Linked DNA regions of Stegostoma tigrinum. The protein of the gene in region 1 interacts with the protein of each later gene in a pairwise test. Links are inferred from orthologs where the notes say so. Each region holds a gene or a part of one and is shown in the gene's direction. Other genes may lie near its edges. The genes, in order: oprm1, ranbp9 and gap junction alpha-4 protein-like.

The links.
Region 2: the proteins of oprm1 (region 1) and ranbp9 interact in binary tests that used the Homo sapiens proteins (3 or more experiments, as listed by UniProt). The link is inferred for Stegostoma tigrinum from reciprocal best matches to the Homo sapiens genes OPRM1 and RANBP9.
Region 3: the proteins of oprm1 (region 1) and gap junction alpha-4 protein-like interact in binary tests that used the Homo sapiens proteins (3 or more experiments, as listed by UniProt). The link is inferred for Stegostoma tigrinum from reciprocal best matches to the Homo sapiens genes OPRM1 and GJA4.

Annotation. Positions count from the first base shown.
Region 1 is NC_081362.1:94,689,242-94,696,899, forward strand, and holds the start of oprm1 (mu-type opioid receptor), read left to right. Parts: upstream 1-4,591; 5' UTR 4,592-4,842; coding exon 4,843-5,117; intron 5,118-7,658. UniProt on the Homo sapiens protein: Receptor for endogenous opioids such as beta-endorphin and endomorphin. Receptor for natural and synthetic opioids including morphine, heroin, DAMGO, fentanyl, etorphine, buprenorphin and methadone.
Region 2 is NC_081355.1:38,960,809-38,968,502, forward strand, and holds the start of ranbp9 (ran-binding protein 9), read left to right. Parts: upstream 1-4,648; 5' UTR 4,649-4,739; exon of another isoform or gene 4,740-5,007; 5' UTR 5,008-5,017; coding exon 5,018-5,207; intron 5,208-7,694. UniProt on the Homo sapiens protein: May act as scaffolding protein, and as adapter protein to couple membrane receptors to intracellular signaling pathways. Acts as a mediator of cell spreading and actin cytoskeleton rearrangement.
Region 3 is NC_081377.1:16,332,497-16,340,045, forward strand, and holds the start of gap junction alpha-4 protein-like, read left to right. Parts: upstream 1-4,519; 5' UTR 4,520-4,741; intron 4,742-7,549. UniProt on the Homo sapiens protein: One gap junction consists of a cluster of closely packed pairs of transmembrane channels, the connexons, through which materials of low MW diffuse from one cell to a neighboring cell.

The DNA of each region.
Region 1 (7,658 bases):
GTGGCTCTACCTACATCAAAGGAGCTACAGCAGTTCAAGAAGACACTCACCATCTCCTCTTCAGGTGCAATCTGCTTTAAAATGCCTCTTAATGTTTATTGCTTTGATCCATATTTTGATCATTTGTCCTCGTATCTTTGTAGTTGAGTTGGTATCAAATGTTACTTTGTAATCCTCTTCTAAAGCACCTTGTGATCATTTCATTTTGATACAATTTGCTATATAAATGTAGAGTAATGGAGCTGTACAGTATAGAAACAGATCCATCAGTCCAATTTGTCAATGCTGATTAGATATCCGAAATTAATCTACTTCTATTTGTCAGCATTTGATCTATATCCCTCCAAAGCCTTCCCATTCATATACCCTTCCAAATGCCTTTTAAATGCTGTAATTGTGCTAGCCTCCACCACTTCCTCTGACAGCTCATTCCATATATACACCACCCTTTGCACGAAAAAGTTGCTCTTTGATCTCGTTTAAAGCTTAAACTTATGCCCTCTCGTTTTGGGGTCCCTCACCCCGAGAAGAAGTCCTTGTCTACTCATCCTATTTATGCCCCTCATGATTTTATAAACCTCTATCGGGTCATCCCTCAGCCTCCGACGCACCATGGAAAATAGCCCCAGATTATTCAGTCTTTCTCTATAGCTCAAACTCTCCAACTCTGGCAATATCCTTGAAAATCTTTCTGAGCACTTTCAAGTCTCACAACATCCTTCCCATAGCAGAAAGACCTGAACTGAACACAGTTTTCCAAAAGCGGCTGAACCAACGTCTGGTACAGTCACAACATGACTTCCCAATTAAGAGATAACGAAGTGTAGATCTGGATGAACACAGCAGGCCAAGTAGCATCTTAGGAGAACAAAAGCTTATGTTTCAGGCCTAACCTGAAGAAGTTACCCTCCTGCCTCTGAAGAAACCTTTTCTGATGAAGGGTCTAGGCCCAGAACATCAGTTTTTGAGCTCCTAAGACGCTGCTTGGCCTGCTGTGTTCATCCAGCTCCACACTTTGTTATCTCGGATTCTCCAGCATCTGCAGTTCCCATTATCTATGACTTCCCAATTCCTGTACTCAATGCACTGACCAGTAAAGGCAAGCACACCAAAGAACTTCTTCACTATCCTGTCTATCTGCGACTCCACTTTCAAGGAACTATGAACCTGCACTCCAAGGACTTTGTTCAACAACACTCCCCAGGGTCTTACCATTAAGTGTATTAGTCCTGCCCTCATTTGCCTGTCTAAAATGCAGCACCTTACATTTATCTGAATTAAGCACCATCAGCCACTCCTTGGGTCATTGGCTCTTCTGATCACCATCCCATTTTTCTCTGAGGTAATGTTCTTCCCTGTCCACCACACCTCTAATTTTGGCATCATCTTCCAATTTACTAACCGTACCCCTGATGATCACATCCAAATCATTTGTATAAATGATGAAAAGTAGTGAATTGAGCAGCAATCCTCCTGGCACACCGCTGGTCACAGGCCTCCAGTCTGAAAGGTAACCCTCCACCACGTCCCTCTGTCTCCCACCTTCGAATCAATTCTATGCCCAAATGTCTAGTCTTCCTTGTTTTCTGTGAGATCTAACCTCCCTAAACAGTCTACTCACAGAACCTTGTTGAATGCCTTACTGAAGTCCATATAGATCATGTCCAATGCTCTGCCTTCATCAATGCTCTTTGTTACTTCTTCATAAAACTCAATCAAGTTAGTGAGACATGACTTCCCATGCACAAATCCATGCTGACAATCCCTAATCAGTCCTTGCCTTTCCAAATACATATAAGCCCTGTCTACCAGAATCCTCTCCAACAACTTGCTCACCACTGATGTCAGGCTCAGTGGGCTATAGATCCTGGCTTTTCCTTCCCACCTTTTTGAATAAGAGCAACAGATTAGCCAAACTCCAGTCTTCCAGCACCTCACTTGTGGTTATTGATGACAGAAATATCTCAGCAAGGGGCCCAGCAATCACTTCCTGAGCTTCCCACAGAGTTCTAGGATACACTGGATCAGGCCCCAGGGATTTATCCACTTTTATGCATTTTCAGGTGTCCAGCACCCCCTCCTCTGTAATATGGTCATTTTTCAAGAAGTTGTTCTTTATTTCTCGAAGTTCTTTAGCTTCCATAGTCTTCTCCACCATAAACACTGATGCAAAATACTTGTTTAGTGTCTGATCTATCTCCTGTGGTTCTACCCTTAGGCAGCCTTGCTGATCTTTAAGGGCCCTATTCATTTGCTGGTGACTCTTTTGCCTTAATGTATTTGTAGAATCCCTTTTGATTCTCCTTAACTCTATTTGTCAAAAGCTACCTCATGTCCCCCTTTTGGCTTTCTGATTTTCCTCTTAAGTATACTTCTACTGGATTTACTTAATCCCTGCAATCGATACCTGACATATGCTTCCTTCTTTATCTTGACCAAAATTTCAATTTCTCTAATCATCCAGCATTCCTTACACCTACTGACCTTGCCCTTCACCCAAACAGTAACATACTGTCTCTGGACACCTGGTATCTCATTTTTGAAGTCTTCCCATTTTTCAACCATCCCTTTACTTGGGAATATCTGTCCCCTATTAACTTCTGAAAGTTCTTGCCTAATGCCATCAAAACTAGCCTTCTTCCAATTTAGAACTTTAAACTTAAGATCCAGTCTATCCTTTTCCATCATTATCTTAAAACTAATAGAACTATGATCACTGGTCCCAAAGTGCTCCCCCACTCACACCTCAGCCATCTGCTCATAATTTGTTGTTAAACATTATAACTAAATCCACTTTCGCTGCCCTTTCAGAATAGTCCATTCCAGATCACAACAACTCACTACATAAAAGAAAATATGATCATTTCCCCTCTGGTTCCTTTTTCAATTATCTTCAACATCAAAAAGAGAGTAGAATGACAAAGTTGAATGGAACAAATCTCTACACAATAAGTTGCCAATCACTCTGTTTCAAAGAAATCAAGTATGTGATAGAAGGTAGCAGATGTCTTTCAGAATTCTCTACCTGTTCTCAATGGCAAGCACCACTTGAATGAGATTAAATTAGTTCCATGTCTTAGCAAAGCTATCTTCCTCTCTCCCCGCATAGAATGACTCATTCTCAGTCTTCAGAACTATCTGAGATCAAGAAGGAGAATTTTGTTGCAGCCTTTTGGATGATGCATGTCACTGAGGTTGCCTGAGGAAGTCAAAGATGCCTTTAACAATCTCAATGAAACTTTGCCAGGCAGACATCTACAACAGAGAAAGCAAAGCTTTCAAATCTAAGAGGGAACTAAGAAATGTGGGTAGTCCATAGCAGGTTGCTGAACATGTAGGAAGAAAATAGGCATGTCACTGAGTTTGGGGGGAGGTGGAAGGGTAGATAACCCATCACCCTGTGTTATCAATGATTTGGTGGATAATGTTGTTATGTCTGCGTCAGAAGGTTGTTTAGTTCAGATTTCAAACTGCTGGCCTTGAGCACATGACCTAATTTGACACAGGCAGTGCTGAACTACCAAAGTTCTGCTTTTCAGGTATAACATGCAAAAAAACAGGCGAATATAAATAATCTATGGTTATTTCAAGATGCTTGTGAGACCATGTTATACATAAATTGACTGCCTTGGTTCCTTCATTCTAATAGTGACTACAAATTTTAAAAAAACTTCCTTGATTATGAAATGCTTTGGGATGTCCTGAATCCCTGAAAGATGCTATAGAAATGCCAGTCTTCCATTAATTTTCTTTTAACTCAGATGGTTTGCATCCTCCAAAGTGTCAAATCCTTTGCATTTATCTTACATAGTTGTTTAATGACCTGCAAGTTACAGATCCTGCACCTATCTGTTCAGGAAGGTTTGGGGTGCACAGTGTACAGCAATGAATGATTGTGAACTGTTCTCTTCTCAAAACAGTAATCTCCACACATTCTAAGGATTCACATAAGTGGCACTTAATGAATATGGCAGTCAACTGCTTGATTATTTATATGAAAATTTCCTTGTAAATGTCAACGGAAGGAAGCCACAGGGCCAAGGACCAGCCACAAAGCACAATAACCCACGTGTCATGATGAAATGACCGTATTTGTGACTGTGGCAGAAACTGTCTGTTTAACATAATAAACCCTTTTCCAATCACCCAACTGTGCATCACCTTCAACTGAAAATCCATTCCAATGTCTTCAATTCCATTGAATCCCCAGCTCCCTCCTGGATGAATTTCATCTCACTGTATCAAGGGCTGACTTCTCAAGCGTCATGGGACAGAGCTATTGCTGAGGACGCTTTAGTTTAACGCCTCTCTCTCTCTGTTCTGTGTCCTTAAACCCCATCCAGTAACTTCCCGGTTGTTCGGACTCCTAGCCCCCGTTGCATTGCAGCCGGCGTTGTTTCAGCACCATGGACAGCGCAGAGCCCGCTCCGGTGCTCAGTTGATACCTTTAACTGATACTGCGGCCAGGTGCTGGCTCCGACACTCCAATCACAGGCGAGGGGAATGGGGAGGGGTTGACGTCAGCCCCCTCCAATAAAGCGGCGAATCACGTCCAGAATAAAAAAAAATCAGACGAGGTGGAGATGGATCAACCAGTGCCACAGACAGCCTGGATGCCCAGGCACCAACAGTGTTCCCTTCGCATATAACGTGAGGAACGCTGAGCTTCTCGCTACTGCTGCCCTGAGTGAGCTCAATTCACCCAGAGCATTGCACTGACCAGGAGGTGCGTCGCACTTATCACATCTGAGGATCTGCTGAAGTTTTGAATCAACAGTGCTCCTTTTTTTAATTTGAAAAAAATCCCTTACGTTCTGCTAAAAACAAAAGAAAAACATTGCAATGGAGCTACTCGCCCAGCCCTGCATTGATCTAGCTGCCAACGGGTCCCAGCTCTGCCAGACTAGCCTGACCACCATGAATTCCAGCCTGGGCTCAGCCAACTGGTCATATCTCTGCATCAACTCGAGCTCGAACCCGTGTAACGGCACCGAGAACGTCCCTCTGAGCAAGAGTTCGGCTTCAATCATCATCGCCATCATCATCACTGCTCTTTACTCCATTGTCTGTGTGCTGGGACTGGTGGGCAACGTCCTGGTCATGTATGTGATTGTCAGGTAACGTACAGTCTCAACTCCAAGACATCCGTCCTTCCCCTCTCGCTGCCTCTCTATCTGTGTGTCTTTCCGTCTGTCTGTCTCTCTCTCTCTCTCTGGCTCTCTCGCGAAACCTCTGTCAGCATCAATGGATTTTGACTAGAGTACCATCTCTCACTCGCCTCACTTCATTGATTGGTAGTATTGGCGTCTAACTTCAGTACAATGTTCTTGTTTACATATAAGCCAATGTGCATAACCTTACGAACTACTGCACATTCAATGTTGATGCATGGATTTGAGAGGTTCGGCACAGTTCAATTTCGTAGAGATGAATTGCGTGAATTTCACGTTAATAACTGCGTATCTGTGGACTGATTGAATGTTTATGGATTAATAGCTGTATTTAATAGATATCTGTGGGGCGGGATGGGTTTGCCACTTGTCTTAGTTGCTCAAACAGCGCCATCTAACCGGTAAGTGTGGGAATGCAGCGTCTAAAGAACCCTCAGATGGACCCTCGTTTCAAATCGTGCAGTCAATCCTCAACGTACATTTTTACTTCTTTATAAACTCCTTTCTCACGTTTTCAATAGGAACTACCTTTAAGCGCTCCTCAAAACCTAATTACAACTCCTCCACTCTCCTCTCACCAACACCTCTCCCCAACCCCATCCATATTCACTGGTGAAACTCTAGTGCTATCCCTGAGGGAAGGACAAAATTGACATCGTGACATACTGATAGAGAAAATCACACATGCTTCCTCCTTTCAACCAACTGCATTCTAACACCGGCGTGGCATCCAACTCCACCCCAGTCTGCAGACCAGGTCATCAAGAGCCGAAGGAAGATGACACAGTCTCAGGCTATCAGCAAATTTGAATGACTCGATATTTCAATCTGAGACAACAACAGAGAATGCCAGAAAAACTCAGCAAATCTGGCAGCACATCCGTAGAGAGAGGATCCGAGTGAATAGTTTGAGGTTCGTATGACTTGTTCACACCGAAAGGTGCTGCAAAAAAGGTTCTTGTTCTCTTTTCCTATTCTCGAGTAATAATAGCTCTATTACAATTTAATAACCATCCAAACCCACCCACCACTCAATATCCTTTTTTTTAATTCACTCATGGGATGTGGATATAGCTGGGCCAGCCAACATTTATTGCCCATCCCTAGTTGCCCTTGAGAAGGTGGTAGTGACCTGCCTTCTTGAAACAATGCTGTCCATGTGCTGTAGATAGACCCACAAAACCCTTAGGGAAGGAATTCCAGAATTTTGAACTAGTGACAGTTAAGAAACAGCAATATATTTCCAAGTCAGGATGGTACATGGCTTAGAAGGAACTTGTAGGTGGTGATGTTCCTATGTCCTTCTAGATGAAAGTGGTTATGAGGTTGGAGTGTGCTGTCTGACCATTTTTGGTGAATTTCTGCACTGTATCTTGTCGATAGTACACATTTCTGCTTCTGAGCATCAGAGGGGAGGGGCGTGGATGTTTGTGGATGTCATGCCAATCAAGCAATAGACAATAGACAATAGGTGCTGGAGTAGGCCATTCAGCCCTTCAAGCCAGCACCACCATTCATTATGATCATGGCTGATCATCCACAATCAGTACCCTGTTCATGCCTTATCCCCATAACCCTTGATCCCACTATCTTTAAGACCTCTATCCATCTCTTTCTTGAAAATATCCAGAGAGTTGGCCTCCACTGCCTTCTGGGGCAGAGCATTTCATATATCCACCACTCTCTGGGTGAAGAAGTTTTTCCTCAACTCTGTTCTAAATGGCCTAACCCTTATTTTTAAACTGTGTCCTCTGGTCCTGGACTCACCCATCAGCGGAAACATGCTTCCTGCCTCCACAGTGTCCAATCCCTTAATAATCTTATACGTCTCAATCAGATCCCCTCTCATCCTTCTAAACTCAAGGGTATACAAGCCCAGTCGCTCCAATCTTTCAACATATGATAGTCCCGCCATTCCGGGAATTGACCTTGTGAACCTACGCTGCACTCCATCAATAGCAAGAATGTCCTTCCTCAAATTGGGAGACCAAAACTGCACACAATACTCCAGGTGCGGTCTCACCAGGGCCCTGTACAGCTGCAGAAGGACCTCTTTGCTCCTATACTCAATTCCCCTTGTTATGAAGGCCAGCATGCCATTAGCTTTCTTCACTACCTGCTGCACCTGCATGCTTGCTTTCATTGACTGATGTACAAGAACACCTAGACCTCGTTGTGCTTCCTGGATGGTGTCAAGTTTCTTGAGTGTTGTTGGGGCTGCATTCATCCAGGCAAATGGGAAGCATTCCATCACACTCCTGATTTGTGCCTTGTCGATGGTGAACAGGCTTTGGGGAGTCAGGAGGTGAGTTATTAATTGTAGGATTCCTAGTATCTGATCTGATCTTGTAACCATTGTGTTTATGTGGTGAGTCCAGTTGAGTTCAATGTTAATGCCAAAGATGTTGATTGTAAGGTCACACCATTAAATGTGAAGGGACGGTAGTTACATTGTCTCTTATTGGGAATTAGCTGGCATTTGTATGG
Region 2 (7,694 bases), on another chromosome or scaffold:
GGTACATTATCTTTGTGAAAGTGACTACTCAATGGGCAAGTCTCATGGGTGACCATAGTATATATTTTACTGTATAATTCATTTTTATTTCACAAACGGGTTTCTGCTATGTTACAATATCACATTAAATCATGAAGGTCTACTCAGAAGAATTAGGAACTGGCATAACGAGTGGAGGCAACATAAGGAACTTGTTCTGATGGCCAGTGGTGGCAGTGGGAGAGAGTTCTGAGAGCCTGAGGAAGCAATGGCACTGAGACTTGAGGCTTTGGGGAGGGAGGCCCACTTACGGGGAAAAAGACTGCCTTATGGAGATAAGACTTTTAGATCTGGATGCTTCATATTACTTTCTTGGCTCCTGTTTTTTTTTTGTATTTCTGCTTTTTTAAAAATTCTGTTTTTTGCCTCTTAGTTTTGTTTTAAATTTGAGGTTTTGTATGTCGGATTGTGCCAGAGAAGGGTGACTTTGTACACTTTTTACTGTATTCCAATACTTCTGTATTTGAGTACATGACAATAATTGGGAAACCCCATGATATTCAATAGAAGTTATTGGTTTTCAGTGAAAATTCTGGTCATTGTTGGTTTTGACATAATAATTGGAGCAGTGAATGCTGGCCTACTTGACTACTGAGATCAGTGTTTCAGTCTAGAAATCTCCATTTATGTTGGTAGCAGCCCTATCAGTTTTGTAGTAACAACCTCAGTGATTGAGCCAATGATCAGTGGTCTAACAATGATGTAACTGCACCAAACTGCTCATTTTTAAATTGACTGTTATTGATTAGGAGTGTGCTTCAAAGGGCAGTACCTGCACACAAACACACCATTTAGTAGCAGAATACTGAAAGATGTGCACAAGTTGTTCTGCTTAACTCCCACTGCTACCACAGGCCCTCACAACTCACATTCTATGTTGCCTCCACACCTTATGCCAACTCCTAATTCTTCCGAGTAGGCGTTCCGGATATAATGTGATATTGTAACATAGAAGAAATCATTACTGATAATGATATGATTTGTGAAATAAAAATGAAAATATGTATTCATTGAAATATGTATTGTGTCACCTATTGGACATGACCCATTGAGTAAGTCATTTTAAGAAAGACGGCCTTGTTAGCAGTACTTTCATCTAATCATGCCAGTTTTATTTAGAATGAAGTCAGTATTATGAACATTAGAAATGTGACTGACTTGAAATAGACTGGTAAAAACAGCCAGAAGACAAGCACTCAATGGAAGAGTAGAAGATTAATCCTACTTATCCCTTGATCAACAAAATTTTTTCAGTTTTATGAATGATCATCTCAACCTAAAACACCAGCCTTGTTTTTCCAATGGGACGCTTCCTAACCTGCTTTATAGCTCCAGGTCTTTTTTTTGTATTATTTCAGATTTTTGGTATCAGGCTGTATTTTGCTTTTGTTTTACAAAGCAGATTAACTGGTTGTTATCACATTGCTACTGGGAGCTTACTGTGTGCAAGTTGATTGCCCATTTCATGCATTTTAACAGCAAATGTAAATGGAATTAATGTAGTTTGGTGTTTGTTGGTCAGCATAGAGTTGCCAACAAAATTCCAATTTTTCAAGGATTAGGATTTGTTTAACCAATTTTAAAACTGAATTGATTCGCTTTTATTTTGCAACTGCTGGCAAAAAAGAATTCTACAGGTCAAGCTATGCTATAGGCTGCTGGAGCTTCAGCTAAATTACTTGCATCATTAACATTTCTTAACCAAATCCAAGCTCACTTCCAATATTTATAGAGTTAAATACAGCTCTTTTTATCTCTTCAAACTAGAATTCAATTTCCCACTGGAGTGAATAATTTAATTCAACAATCTAAATGAAAAGAGCCAACTGTTGGTTGTGGAAACCCAGAATAAAATACTGCTAGGATGAAAACAGCTCTAATTGGTAGCCTCACCTCTGATCTAGAGGGTTCCTGAACCAGGTCTAGAATGCATGATGTGGGCTGATGCTCCAGTGTAGTATGAATGCTCTGATGCGTTCACCTTTGCCATCCATTTGAAATCTAAAATAAAGGTTTTATTTGCGTGTCCTGCAAGTCATTTCAAGAAACCATGGCACTGAAGAGTAGGGAATTCTCCCGATGCCTTGACAAAGTTTTCTGTCAACCAACACCAAAAAAAAATCAATGGTCATTAATTTCATTGTCAATGGACGGTAGTGGTCATTAGTAACTGTTCCATTTTGCTTTTCATAAATCACAAATTTCAAAAAGCACTTGCACATTTTTTCCACTTGGCAAAGTACAATCAAATTCAAGCGGCCATTTATCAACCATCTCTAGACCTAGAAAGAGGTTAACAAAGTCCCACTGATTGTGCTGTTATGTGATAATTCAATCTCCTGAAGTGCTTGTTTTAAGAGTAAAATAAGATGCATATTCTAGAATTTTATTACCTGTTTTATATAATGCTTGGAGTGATGAATGATATGTGATATGTGGAATTCACCAAAAATCCTCAGATGACCACTTCCATCTAGAAGGACAAGGTAGCAGATATGTGGGAACACCATCAACTTCAAGGTCCCCTCCAGACCACTCCCCATCCTGACATGGAAATATTTTACTATTCCTTCATTATCTCTGGGTCAAACCCCTGAAATTCCTTCCCCAATAGCATTGTAGTTCAACCCACAGCAAGTATATTGGACTAGTTCAAGAAGCTGCTTACCACTGCCTTCTCGAGTGCAACTAGGGATGGACAATAAATGCTGTCCAGGCAGTGACATCCACATCCCACAAATGAATTTTAAAAAGTGTAAAATTTGCCACAGCAGAGAAAGTAATACTAAATTCCAACTCAAACACTAGTTGCCATGCAATCTAGTTGCTCAGTGTCAAGTGTGAGACCAGCCAGAACTTTCACCAACTAAATATAAATGAGGCCAAGTTGTTTTTGTTGCAAATAGAGAGACCTAAGGGTTCAGGTACACAGTTCTTTGAAATTGGCATCATGGGTAGACAGCATGGTGAGGAAGGCATTTGGCATGCTTGTCTTAATTAGTCAGAGCATTTGGTACAGGAGTTGTCGTGTTGCACCTGTACAAGACATTGGTGAGGCCACTTTTGGAGTACTGTGTACAGTTCTAGTGGCCCTAGTATAGTAAGGATATTATTAAATTGGAAAGGGTGCAAAAAAGATTTACCAGGTTGTTACCAGGACAGGAGAGTTTGAGTTATTACAAGAGGCTGGATAGGCTGAGACTTTTTTTCCTAAGAGTGTAGGAAGTTGGGGGATGACCTTAGAGGTTGATGAAATAATAATCAAGGCCTTTTCCCTAGATGAGGGGAATTAAAAACTAGGGGGCGTAAGTTTAAGGTGAGAGGAAAAAGATTTAAAAGGTACATGAGGAGCAACTTTTTCACACAGAGGGTGGTTCATATGTGAATGAACTGTCTGGTGAAGTGGTTCATGCAGGTACAGTTATAACATTTAAAAGACATTTGGACAGGTAGACAAAAAGGAAAGGTTTAGAGAAATGTGGGTAAAACACAGACAAATGCTTAATTTGGGAAATCTGTTTGGCATGGACAAATTGGACTGAAGGGTCTGTTTCCGTGCTGTGTACCCAATGACCCTATGACTCAGAGATGGTGGGCTTAAGGGCCTGTTTCTATGCTGCATGCCTCTGTGACTCTACAGACATTTCAAGTATTCTTAAACTATGTTATAAAGTGCTCTGTAATGTACTATGATCTTTGAAGGTCCAAAATAGACATTATTTTATTTCTTTTTGAAACACAGCAAAAGCAGACACCACCATCTCAAGTGGTGTCAATGAATCTCCAATCTCTTGGGTCTCAGAAAAAATGCTGTTAATTACTGCAGATACCCCTCCAGCAGTGCTGCTATCCAAGCCTTTATCTTGCATACCTGATCTCACTCTTATCCTAATTCCTATTACAACTCTGCTCCAAGCATAACAATGATCTTTGTGTCGTTTGCCATTTCAATTTTCCAAATTCTGACCATCTTGACTTTCCTGTCTCTGGGCAGCCATAGCATATTAATTAAATTCAATGTAAGCTCAAACAACACCACATTTCTGGACTTGGCAGTTTACAGCCTTCTGAGCACAAATTTGGATGATGATCGATTCAGAGAAAGTAGGAACTACCGATGCTGGAGAATCTGAGGTGACAAGGTGTGGAGCTGGACGAACACAGTAGTCTAAAGCAGCATCAGAAGAGCACGAAAGCGAAACGTTATCTTTCCTGCTCGAGGCTGCTGTGTTCATCCAGCTCTACACCTTGTTAACTCTTATGTTTAGATGATGGTCAGTGCTTCTTTTTTCCAACTGATGTATATCTGTTTTATTCCTTCACTTTCCACTCTGATGTTCAGCCATGCACAACTCGTCTGTACACATCTTTTGCTTCTTTACCCATTATTGTGGAATGTTTTGCCATTTAATCCCTCCTCACCCCTTATCCCCACCTCTCCAATTCTGCATTGCTTCACTCCCTCACCCTGTCTATTGCATTCATTCCTTACTCGCCTCCCTCCGGAGACCCCCCTCATAGGAAGTTAGCCTCTCTGCAGCATTTCCCCTGCCCCGAGCTTAGCCCCGCCCCCCAGCCGCGATGGTTTAGCGTGGGTGGCCAATGAGGAGCGGGTTGGGCAGCGGCGGCCTGTCAGTGAGCGGAGACAGGCGGACATAGAAGAGAGTCACTCAGTCAGATTCGGATGCAGCAGCGACTGAGTTGGGTTGGAGCTGGAGTTGGGGACGGGGACGGACCGGGTGGAGGGAGGCAGGCTGGCTGTCGGTCGGTCGGGCTCTCAGTGAACGAACGGGCTGAGGGCTCATAAGGCGCGGCCGTGGAAGGGAGACGGCATCGGTCGCCGTTCCGGGTTTCCAAGTCTCGTCATCCGGGGCTCGGAGCCTGATCCAGACCGTCTCCGGCCCATTATACATCCACCCAGAGCTCAGGCTCCGGGTTTGGCCTAACCCCTCCTCCCGTCCTTCACAGATCCGCACCCATGGCTGGGCTGTCGGCGGCGCACGGAGAGTCGGCACTCAACCTTCAAGAGAAGGAGCTCACCGACCGCTTCAAGCGGCTCTACCCCGCTGTCAACGAGCAGGAGTCGCCGCTGCCGAGATGCTGGAGCCCAAAGGATAAGTACAGCTACATCGGCCTGTCTCAGAACAACCTGCGGGTCCATTATAAAGGTAAGCGGATGGCCCCTGGCACCCAGGGACGTCTTGACACTGGTACTGAGCCCAGCTAAAGAAAAGGCAAAGAGGGTGGATGGCAGCTACAGTTTATAGGCACCGACTACCAGGCCCCTGGCCTTACATAGCAACAGTTAACACTGATACGAGAGGCCACCGAATCCCACCAAATACCTATACAGGGGTGTCATATAGCCACATTAGTCACATAGAACTATCTGGAATAAGATGAGTGCCAAGACTGATTACATGCACCGACTGTGAACAGGCCAAGACTTGTACACCACAGTTTGGAACATACACTTCCGTACACAGTGAGGAAATGAGTTGGGGAGTTGGGGGTGGGGCGAGCGGTGTGGCGGGCGCGGTGGTGACGGGCCTTGAGCACTATGTCCATAAATGACATCTGGGCCATGGCCTGTTGAGATTATTTGTTGAATACTATCAACAGAATTAAATACAGTTGAAATATTTGCTTTTAATTGAGTGTGAAAGAGCCCTCGCGGTAGAGAAAGATCTGATCTTAAAACTTATCTAACATTTTAAAAATACACGTAAGTAGAAAACAAAGCTAGTTCACGAAAGATCTCCATAGAGATAGACATGACCCTAACTAGTCAATGATTGTGAATTTTGGGTCACCAGTTAACTATTATTGAGAGTATGTGTGTAAGATACTTCTAAAACGGACATGGATTGTAATAAATCCAATGTGTGGTAGAGGGACTGTTTTGCAAGTGTCTATAACATTCAATATATAAACGATACATTATGTGAACAACTGGCAACTTTAGTTTTAAAAAAAACAAAATGAAGCCCTTTAGCCTCCAACCAGCAAAAACAAATCAGTATCGACTGTTAAGGAAGAGCAATGGATTGCAACGAGTTGCAATGTGACCTTTTCCCATCTTTTCAAAAATGAGGACTAGAGAATGACCTAAGTTTTAATTCGGTTTGAATAGAATGAGTGACTGATTCCCATTGAAAATGTTTGTTTGTGTCCTGAGTAAGAGGAGATTGGGCAGTGGGCTGAGTTCTTGGGAACCTTGCATTGCAAACCCCATTGAATTTCTGTTTTCTTTGTCGAAGGATCCAAAAGCAAGGGTAGGTTGAAAACTGAGAAGAAAGAGAAAAAAGTTAGAAGCAGATTATTTCAGAACACAGCTTCTAAATATTAATTTCATGTCAGGGTGTATCTCCAAATAATATAGAATGGATGAACTGGCTTGGAGCCAAGAATTTTACAACTATAATTTTGGATATTTTTGTTCATTATGTTTGAAGTGGACTTGTTACAGTGCAAAACTGAAGCTGGTAACAAATCAATAATTTTCTTTAATATATTAACAAATCCAATCACTGCTTTGAATTCTTTGATCATATATCACAGTTTTTGTCTGTGAATCCTGGGTAACTTTATACTTACTTTCTTAATCTGTTAAGTTTACAAACTCAAATTATTGTTAAAATAACCTTAACGCTGTAGTTTCCTTTATTTATCCTGCTAAACTGTTTCTTTACAAATGTCATGCAGCCTCCTCTCCCCTGTGTACTCAGATGTCAGGGTAATATTATCTGTGCTTTTCATTTGAGGTATCATTACTCAGTGATGTCATTTAATGCAAAATGTTCCATTCTGCAGAATGACACCAAAGCATGACTGCAGTTGTTTTTCAAGTAAATTATTTAGACAGTAGAGTACTGTATCTATTGCTCCTCAGTGACCACTCTACAATAATGTTTTTGTAAGTCTTGGCATTGTCTCTGCTTAATGTTGAAGGTACCTTCAGACCTTCTCGCTAGGTTACGTCAATTGTTTGTGTTTTGCAGTGATTGAACTTAAATTTTGGAAATGAAAATCTAAAGATTAGCTGCATTTTGTTCAACCCTCATTCTTTGGTTTTGCACTCTAGGTAAATCTACTCATCTACAAATAATACCAGGAATCTTTAACTTCTGCTTGAACTATTGGGACATGATCAAATCTTGCTTTCATTCAAAGTGCAGGACTTCTGATAAAGCCTTGAGAGCACACTGAAGTCACAGCTAGCTTTTGTGCTCAAGTCCCTGAATGAGGTTTGAATTCTCAACCTTCAGAATTCAACTAAAACCAAGTTGACGCCTCGCCCATGCAGTATCCATGAAATTAATTATCCGCAGGCAGTCAGTTGGATAAAACAACATAAAGTTAGACCCTATATGACTTAATATGCCTCCAGTGTCAAAAATTTGCAGATGTTGGACTCTGTTTCTGGCATTTTCACTTACAGGTCAGCGAGTATTTGAGAATTCATACAACTTGAAATTTCAAACATTAGATTAGTAACATTTTAGAAATGTGGCCTTTCTGTGAATAAAGAGTCTATACTTGAAATTTCAACTTTTTTAAACAGATGTTTCCTGAACTAGTGACTGCTTGCAGCGATTTGTCATTTAACCCTTAAAAGTGCCAGATAATAAAATAACAGGTGTGATTTGTTGAGG
Region 3 (7,549 bases), on another chromosome or scaffold:
AGGAACAAAACAGGCCAGGCAGCATCAGAGGAGCAGGAAAGTTCTTCAGAAAGAAGCTTCCTGACCTGAAATGTCAACTTTCCTGTTCCTCTGAGTTGCCTGGCCTGCTGTGTTCCTCCAGCTCCACACTGTGTTGCCTTTTAAATACATTCAATGTTTTGAGATCAACTACTTCTTATGGTAATGAATTCCACAGGCTCACCACTCTTTGAGCGAAGAAATGTCTCCTCAACTCCATTCTAAATCGTCTACCCCAAATCCTCATACCGTGACCCCTGGAACAGCATCTCTGCATCTGCCTTGTCCAGTCTTATTAGAATTTTATAAGTCTCTATGAAATCCTCCTCATTCATCTGAATTCTAGCAAAAATATTCCCAACCTAGTCAATCTCTCCTCATATGTCAGATCCAACATCCCTGAAATCAGTCAGGCCATTCTCAAATTTATCCAACTACACTTTGGCCAGAGACAATAAAAACATTTGCGAATGTACAACTACAAGAACAGCTAAAGACCAAAATTCTCAGATGTTCTGATAGGATTAAAGAAGTACCTGAGAAGATTTCAAGATAACAAAGTGTGGAGCTGGATGAACACAGCAGGCCGAGCAGCACCTCAGGAGCACAAAAGCTGATGTCCTCTGATGAAGGGTCTAGGCCCGAAACATCAGCTTTTGTGCTCCTGAGATGCTGCTTGGCCTGCTGTGTTCATCCAGCTCCACACTTTGTTATCTTGGATTCTCCAGCATCTGCAGTTCCCATTATCCTTGAGAAGATTTGTTAGTTTTGGGTATACAGAGATAAATTTGGGACATCGCAACAAGTAATTTTCAAAGGAAGACAAGTCCTAATACCAAAAACATTACACCAATATATTGTGTATATGTTATACAAAGGGTATATGGGTATTGACTGCTCAAGCCAATTATCATGTCAATCTGCATACTTGCCAGGGATGAATCAAGATATTCAACAACTCACAAATCTAAGTAAGGTATTCTAAACATAGCATCTCCAACAGCAGAGGGAGTCTTTACATCTGCATAATATTCTATCCTCTCCTTCAAAGAAGATAACTACTCAATTATTCACACTGCATAGGGAAGATTACATCCTTATGGGGGATTACTTTTTATTAACTCATTCATAGGATATGAGTGTAACTGGTTGCCAGCATTTATTGCCCATCACAGGTTGGCCTTGAGAAGGTGGTGGTGAGCTGCCTTCTTCAACCGTTGTAGTCCACCTGCTGTAGTTGATCCACAATTCCACAGTATTGACTCAGCAACAGTGAAGGATTGGCAATATACTTCCAAATTAGGGTATCGAGCTGCTTGAAGGGGAACTTGCAAATGGTGATGTTCCCAGATGTCTGCTGCCCTTGTCCTTCTAGATGAAAGTGTTTATAGGTTTGGATGATACTGACTGAAGATCTTCGGTGAATTTCTGCAGTCCTTCTTATAGATAGTACACACTGCTATTGAGTGTTGGTGGTGGAGAGAGTGGATGCTTGTGGATGTAGTGCTGCCAATCAAGTGGGCTGCTTTGTCCTGAATGAGGTCAAGCTGTTGTGCATTGTTGGCGCTGCAGCAATCCAGGTAATTGGGGAGTATTTCATCACATTCCTGACCTGATCCTTGGTGGCATAGATAGTGAATAGGCTTTTGGGGAGTCAGGAGTTGAGTTACTCGCCTCGGCATTCCTTCCCTCTGACCTGCTCTTGTAACCATTGTGTTTAGGTAGTGAGTCCAGTAGAGTTTTTGGTCAATGGTAACCCCAGGTTGTTATTAGTTCAGTGATGGTTACAGTTTCAGTGGTAGTTACACCATTAAATATCAAGGGGCAGTCATTAGATTGTCTCCTATTGGAGATGGTCATTGCCTGGAATTTGTGTGGTGTAAATTTGTGGACCTTATGATGGAGGGAAGATTGTGCAGCTGAAGGCAGTTGGATCTGGGACTCCACCCTGAGGAACTCCTGCAGAAATGTCCTGGCACTGAGATGATAGACCTGCAACAACCTCATGACTCCGACCAGTGGAAATTTGGCCCCCTGTTACTCAAGGATTCCAGTTTTGCTTTGGTTTTTCAATGCCACACTTGGTCAAAATTTGGCCTTGATATCAAGGGCTGTTATTCTCAACTCACTTCTGGAATTCAGTTCATTTGACCACGTTTAAACCAAGGCTGTAAAAAACCAATGCTCTAAATTTTCCATTATTTAGCTACTTAGCAACACAATGGGTGCAGTGGAGTATGACACAATGATTACGATTTCCGGTTTGTTCAGTCTCCAGGAACAGATCATGTCTGGTTGCATTTCATTAATAAGCCACTTAAAAGAAATGTGCACCAAAAGGGGTATATCCCATATTACACAATCTCTATCCTCTTTCGAACAGTTTAGTGAATTCCGTGCAAATAAGGCCCTGACCTGAGCAACAACAGCCAGACTGCATCGTACTAAATAACACCAATCAACATGCAGAGAAGAATGTCTACTGAGCTACAAATACAGGCCCACTCAGTTCTAACCCCTCATGCCTGGGCTACTTTGGAGACCTTTGGTCCGTGAGCTCAGAAAGTGATCCTTATGTGCCCAGTTGCAACAATCACCCCTCAGCAGCTGAATGTTGTTCACAGATGATGACCTCTCTCACTGAGATTTATCTTTTTCAGATTTGGTCACCTACATCTGTTCACACAATTTCCCAAGTACTATGTGAAATCTCAGGCTATCTTTATGCTATGAATGTGCAGCACCATGTTCATTAGTTTAAACAGTAGATCAATACTACAATCTAGTTCTGGGCAGGAAGCTTAATCTGAGGAATGGGTTAATTGTTGCAAGTGTAACACAGTTTAATGGGGAATTAGTTTGACTGCCACAGTGATTGGACTAACTTTTCATGAAACAACTTATATTTTCCAAGGTATGAAGTAGAGGAAAGATCAAGGTTGAGAAAAGATCATTTGACTCTTAAGTACTCAAAGAGCCATTTTCCCAAATTCTTCTGATCATAACATTGTCTTCCCAAAACATCAACTCCAATTGACATGAATTAGAGATGTGTTCCTCAATACACTGCTCAATGAATCATATAACCCCGACAGTGTAAAAACAGGCCCTTCGGCCCAACAAGACCACACTGACCTTTGGAGCATCCCACCCAGACCCATCCCCCGATAATCCACCTAATATACACATCCCTGAACACTATGGGCAATTTAGCATGGCCAATTCACCTAGCCTGCACATCTTTGGACTGTAGGAGGAAACCAGAGCACCCAGAGGAAACCCACACAAACACAGGGAGAATGTACAAACTCTGCTCAGACAGTTGCCCGAGGGGGGAATCAAACCCAGGTCCCTGGTGCTGTGAGGCTGCAGTGCTAACCACTGAGCCACTGTGCCACCAATGCTTTGGGACTTCTCTGGAGCATTTGATATAACGTTTATCCTCCTTCTGGCCATTTGGCATTAAATCTTGAGCATTCTCACAACATCAATGGTTGAACAAAGAAAGCAAAAGGCTACCTTTTTCTGATCGGAGTGAAATTCCCAACTCTGCATCTCCACACCTTCTCACACCCATTAAGGACCAGAGGCTAGATTCGAGATAAGGAGCAGGAGGTTTCGACAGGACATGAGGGGAGAAATCATTCAGATGGTGATGGGAAGCTGGAAAACCTGCTGCCTGCAAGGATGATAGAGTCAGAGTCTTGTAAAATTTAAGAAGTATTTAGATGTACGCTTTCGATGCCAAGGCTATGGGTCAAGTGCTGGAAAATTGGATTAGAATCATTAGGTGGACAGGGTGAATAACTGAAGTCTTTTTCCTAGGATGGGAGAGTTCGAGACTAGAGGTTTAAGGTGAGAGGGGAAAGATTTAAAAAGGACTTGGATAATTTTTTCACACAGAGAGTGGTGCGTCTATGGAATGAGCTGCCAGAGGAGGTGGTGGAGGCTGAAACAATTACAACATTTAAAAGGCATCTGGATGGGTACGTGAACAGGAAGGGTTTAGAGGGATATGGGTCAAATTCTGGCAAATGGGACTAGGTCTGATTGCGATGTCCGGTCCGTGCGGACAGTTTGGAACAAAGGGTCTGTTTCTGTGTTGTGCAACTCCATGATTCTGAGTCACTGGACCTGAAACTTTTAACTCTGATTTCTCCCTACAGATGCTGCCATACCTGTTGAGCTTTCCCAGCAATTTCAGTTTTTCTCTATGACCCTATGGTTATTTTTGACGGGCGCAGACTAGATGGGCTGAGGTTCATCCTTTCTGTGTTGTAGACCTCTATGACTAAAGACTGTTTTTGCCTCAGTCTCCCTCCAATAATAAGTGCTGGATTGAGAACAATGGACCTGTAATATTTGCTATCAATCTTGCTTGCACAGAAGAAAACGCACGGAGCACCGGGATCAATGCAGTTCGTGTTGTTGGGAGCTGTTAGCCTGGGAGAAGTAGACAGAGCTTGCTCATGCAGCTGATTTCCTTCCTGTTGCTGGAAGCTGTCAGCTGTACAGGACTCATACATTCCTGCTCAACTACATCTCCTGTCAAAAAAAAACAATGCACAACTTCTGATTCCGCAACATACTTCAGAGATGACGTTGGAGGAGCTTTCCCCTTAAAATGTTTCAACTCTGAGAAACATTCCTAGTAGAACGGGACAAATCCTGAAGGCCGGGTGTCGGGTTACAGCGTCCTGTATCTTTTATAAACTTACTCTTGGTAAGTTATTGAATTCCAGTCCCTACTAAACTAACGGATGGAGGCTGATGGCGGTCTCTATGTAACCGATCATTATGGGAGTGTTAACAGAAATGCCTAAAAGAAGCTATTTCAGGAGGAAAGTAATGAATTGCCGTATCTCCACAGGGTTGAATATTCAGTTTATTTGATTTTTTTTTAGGTTTCCCTTACACGGTAAATATGTAAAGGCTAATGCCGTGAGTGCAACTTACATCTGATTGACAGGTAGAGATAAGTGGACTGTAACACTGGACTCGTTCAGTTTGTCTTTGCCATGCTGTTTATTTCAGAGATTCGTTGTTATTGCAGGTGTGGAATTTTTTGTTGAGACTTTTCTCGTGCGTTCTGAAACTGAACAGGGAACACAATCATTTTTATTTCAGGCACCTTCCGGGAGGTGTCTCTGAGTTGTTCAGATTTCTACATTCTCCTCTGATTTTTGAGCTACTGGTGCACCCGTTTGTAAGATTTCTGTTACCGGGATGACACTAAGTGCCCAGCGTTCTCTGTTAGCTGTTACTTTGGAAAATATCACAACCCACAAGTAGCCACTGAAACTGAGCCAGTTTTGTGAAGGGCTTGCTACCTGGTCAGGTGTGAATATTTGCAGGAATTCCCAGAGCTTTGTGCTAAATCCAGCGGAGCTTTCTAACAGTTTGAAAAGTGAGCCATTTGAGTATCAACTGGCAACCCTTACTTGGCAAAGCATTTTCCCCTACTCTATTCACTCTCTTCCTTGTCATAGGTGCCAATCAGAATAGACATGAGAAAAATTGGACATCAAATGATTGAATTTATAACATGATAGCATTCTTCTTTTGCTTGACTAACTCTATCCAGATTCAGCAGGCACACCTTGCCCATTGTTACAGTGAAGAACAATTAAAACTATAATTTCTCTGTAGTGCTTTACTCACTTGTGAGGCATGGAGCAATGGTCTCTGACTCCACACAAAGGAACTGTTATATAGTCATAGCATGGGACAAGGTAGATACATTGAATGGATAAGATGGATCCATGGCAGTGACTTATACAGTGATGACTGAAAAGCAATCCCATGTCATTTTCAACATCAGTTCAATTACTCATCTTTACAGTTGTTCCATCACCTGGCACATAATATGATGGAGACAACCTGGGCATTTGGGCAAGACTCAGCATGTACCAGTAGTTACTACAGGACAGCTAGCTTCCCTCAAGGCTGGCCCTTCTTTTTTGAAAGTGGACCAATCCCAGATCACTTATTACAGCTAATTTGATGAAGGTTTTCACAATGAAGAGCAATGAATATCAGCAAAAACTGACTGTCTGGTGCTGCATTCAGGCATATGGTTCAGTCCTCTTACCTTCACCTCATAAATATTAGAACCTTCCTGAACATTGCACACTATCTGTGGGTCTCAGAGTAACCATCAAGCTTCCATCCCCAAAAGTGCACACCTTTTCCCTAAATTATCTATCGCTCCATCTGCAATTTTAATGTACCATGGGGTAAGTCACACTACCTCATTTTAGCATATTTTGATGAACGCATCCACTTCATGGTTCTTCATCAATGTTTTGAGAATGGCAACAAAACTTCTTGAAGCAGAAAAAGAACCTGAGGCAATTTTTGTGTTCATACCGACAGTTCCGATCTTTAGAAGCTTTCTGGTTCTCAATTATGTGAAGACTCTAGAAATGCTGAGGTTTTTTAGAACAGAAGAGATTAACAGAAAGATTTATTATACATGTGCAAAATTATTTAATGCTTTAATTAGATTAAATAGGGAGCAACTATTTGCAATGATGAAAGTACTGGTAACTAGAGATTGCCAATTTAAGGCAATTGACAAAACACCCAGAGGCATTATAAGGAATGAAATGTACAGCAGGTTGTTATATCTGGAAAATACTCACTGAAAAGGTCGTGGGAGCAGATATGCTAATAACTCAGAAGGGAATTGGGTAAACACTTGAAAAGTATTTGCAAGGCTGTGGGAAAGTGCAGCATCATGAGACATTGCCTACGCAGAATGAGCCTTATGGCCTCTTATGCTACATGATTTGATGATAGTACCTTAATTTTATGCCAGTATTAGTTGCTGCACGTATTGTGTGTCCATCAAAGCTTATGCAGTCAAGAAAACTTTGACCAACACCGTAAATAAAACTTTCAACAATGGTTGTTGCTTGAGGATAAGTGGCAAACCCCTCAAAAGAAATCTAAACCAGACGCTGAATCTGTAACTAGCTCGTCTGAAAAGAAATTAAGAGTTACAGATATCGATCCCAGATGGGTGCATGGCATGAAAAACATTATCGCAATGAGAAATGATGGGAAATGACACTGCACCAAGGAGAAGGGCAAAGAAGCCTAGAAGTTGTTTTAAGATTGCTTAGCCTGAACTCAGAGCTTAGTCCAAACAGCATGCTCCACTTTCAATAGCACAGTGGAATGATCAATTCACATTAATTAATAAATTCATTGCCAAAAAGGAAGTAAAGGTTACTTATAGGTGGGTTGATCATTGCCACATTCTTTTGATAGTTTGATGGTGTGTGATTGACACCAGCAGTGTAAAAACATAATATACTAGAACAACAGAGTGAAACAAGTAACTGCTACCGTTGGAGTTGTATTGGAGTATTTTCACTTAACATTACAGCAGTGGGTGCCATTTGCAAGTCTTGTTCTTTCAAATCCAAAGACTATCATATTTTATCATTTCCCTAAAGTTACAAACCAGATGAATTTGGAAGTTTATATATTCTCATGCCTTGCAAATTAAATTTAGAGTGCAGCT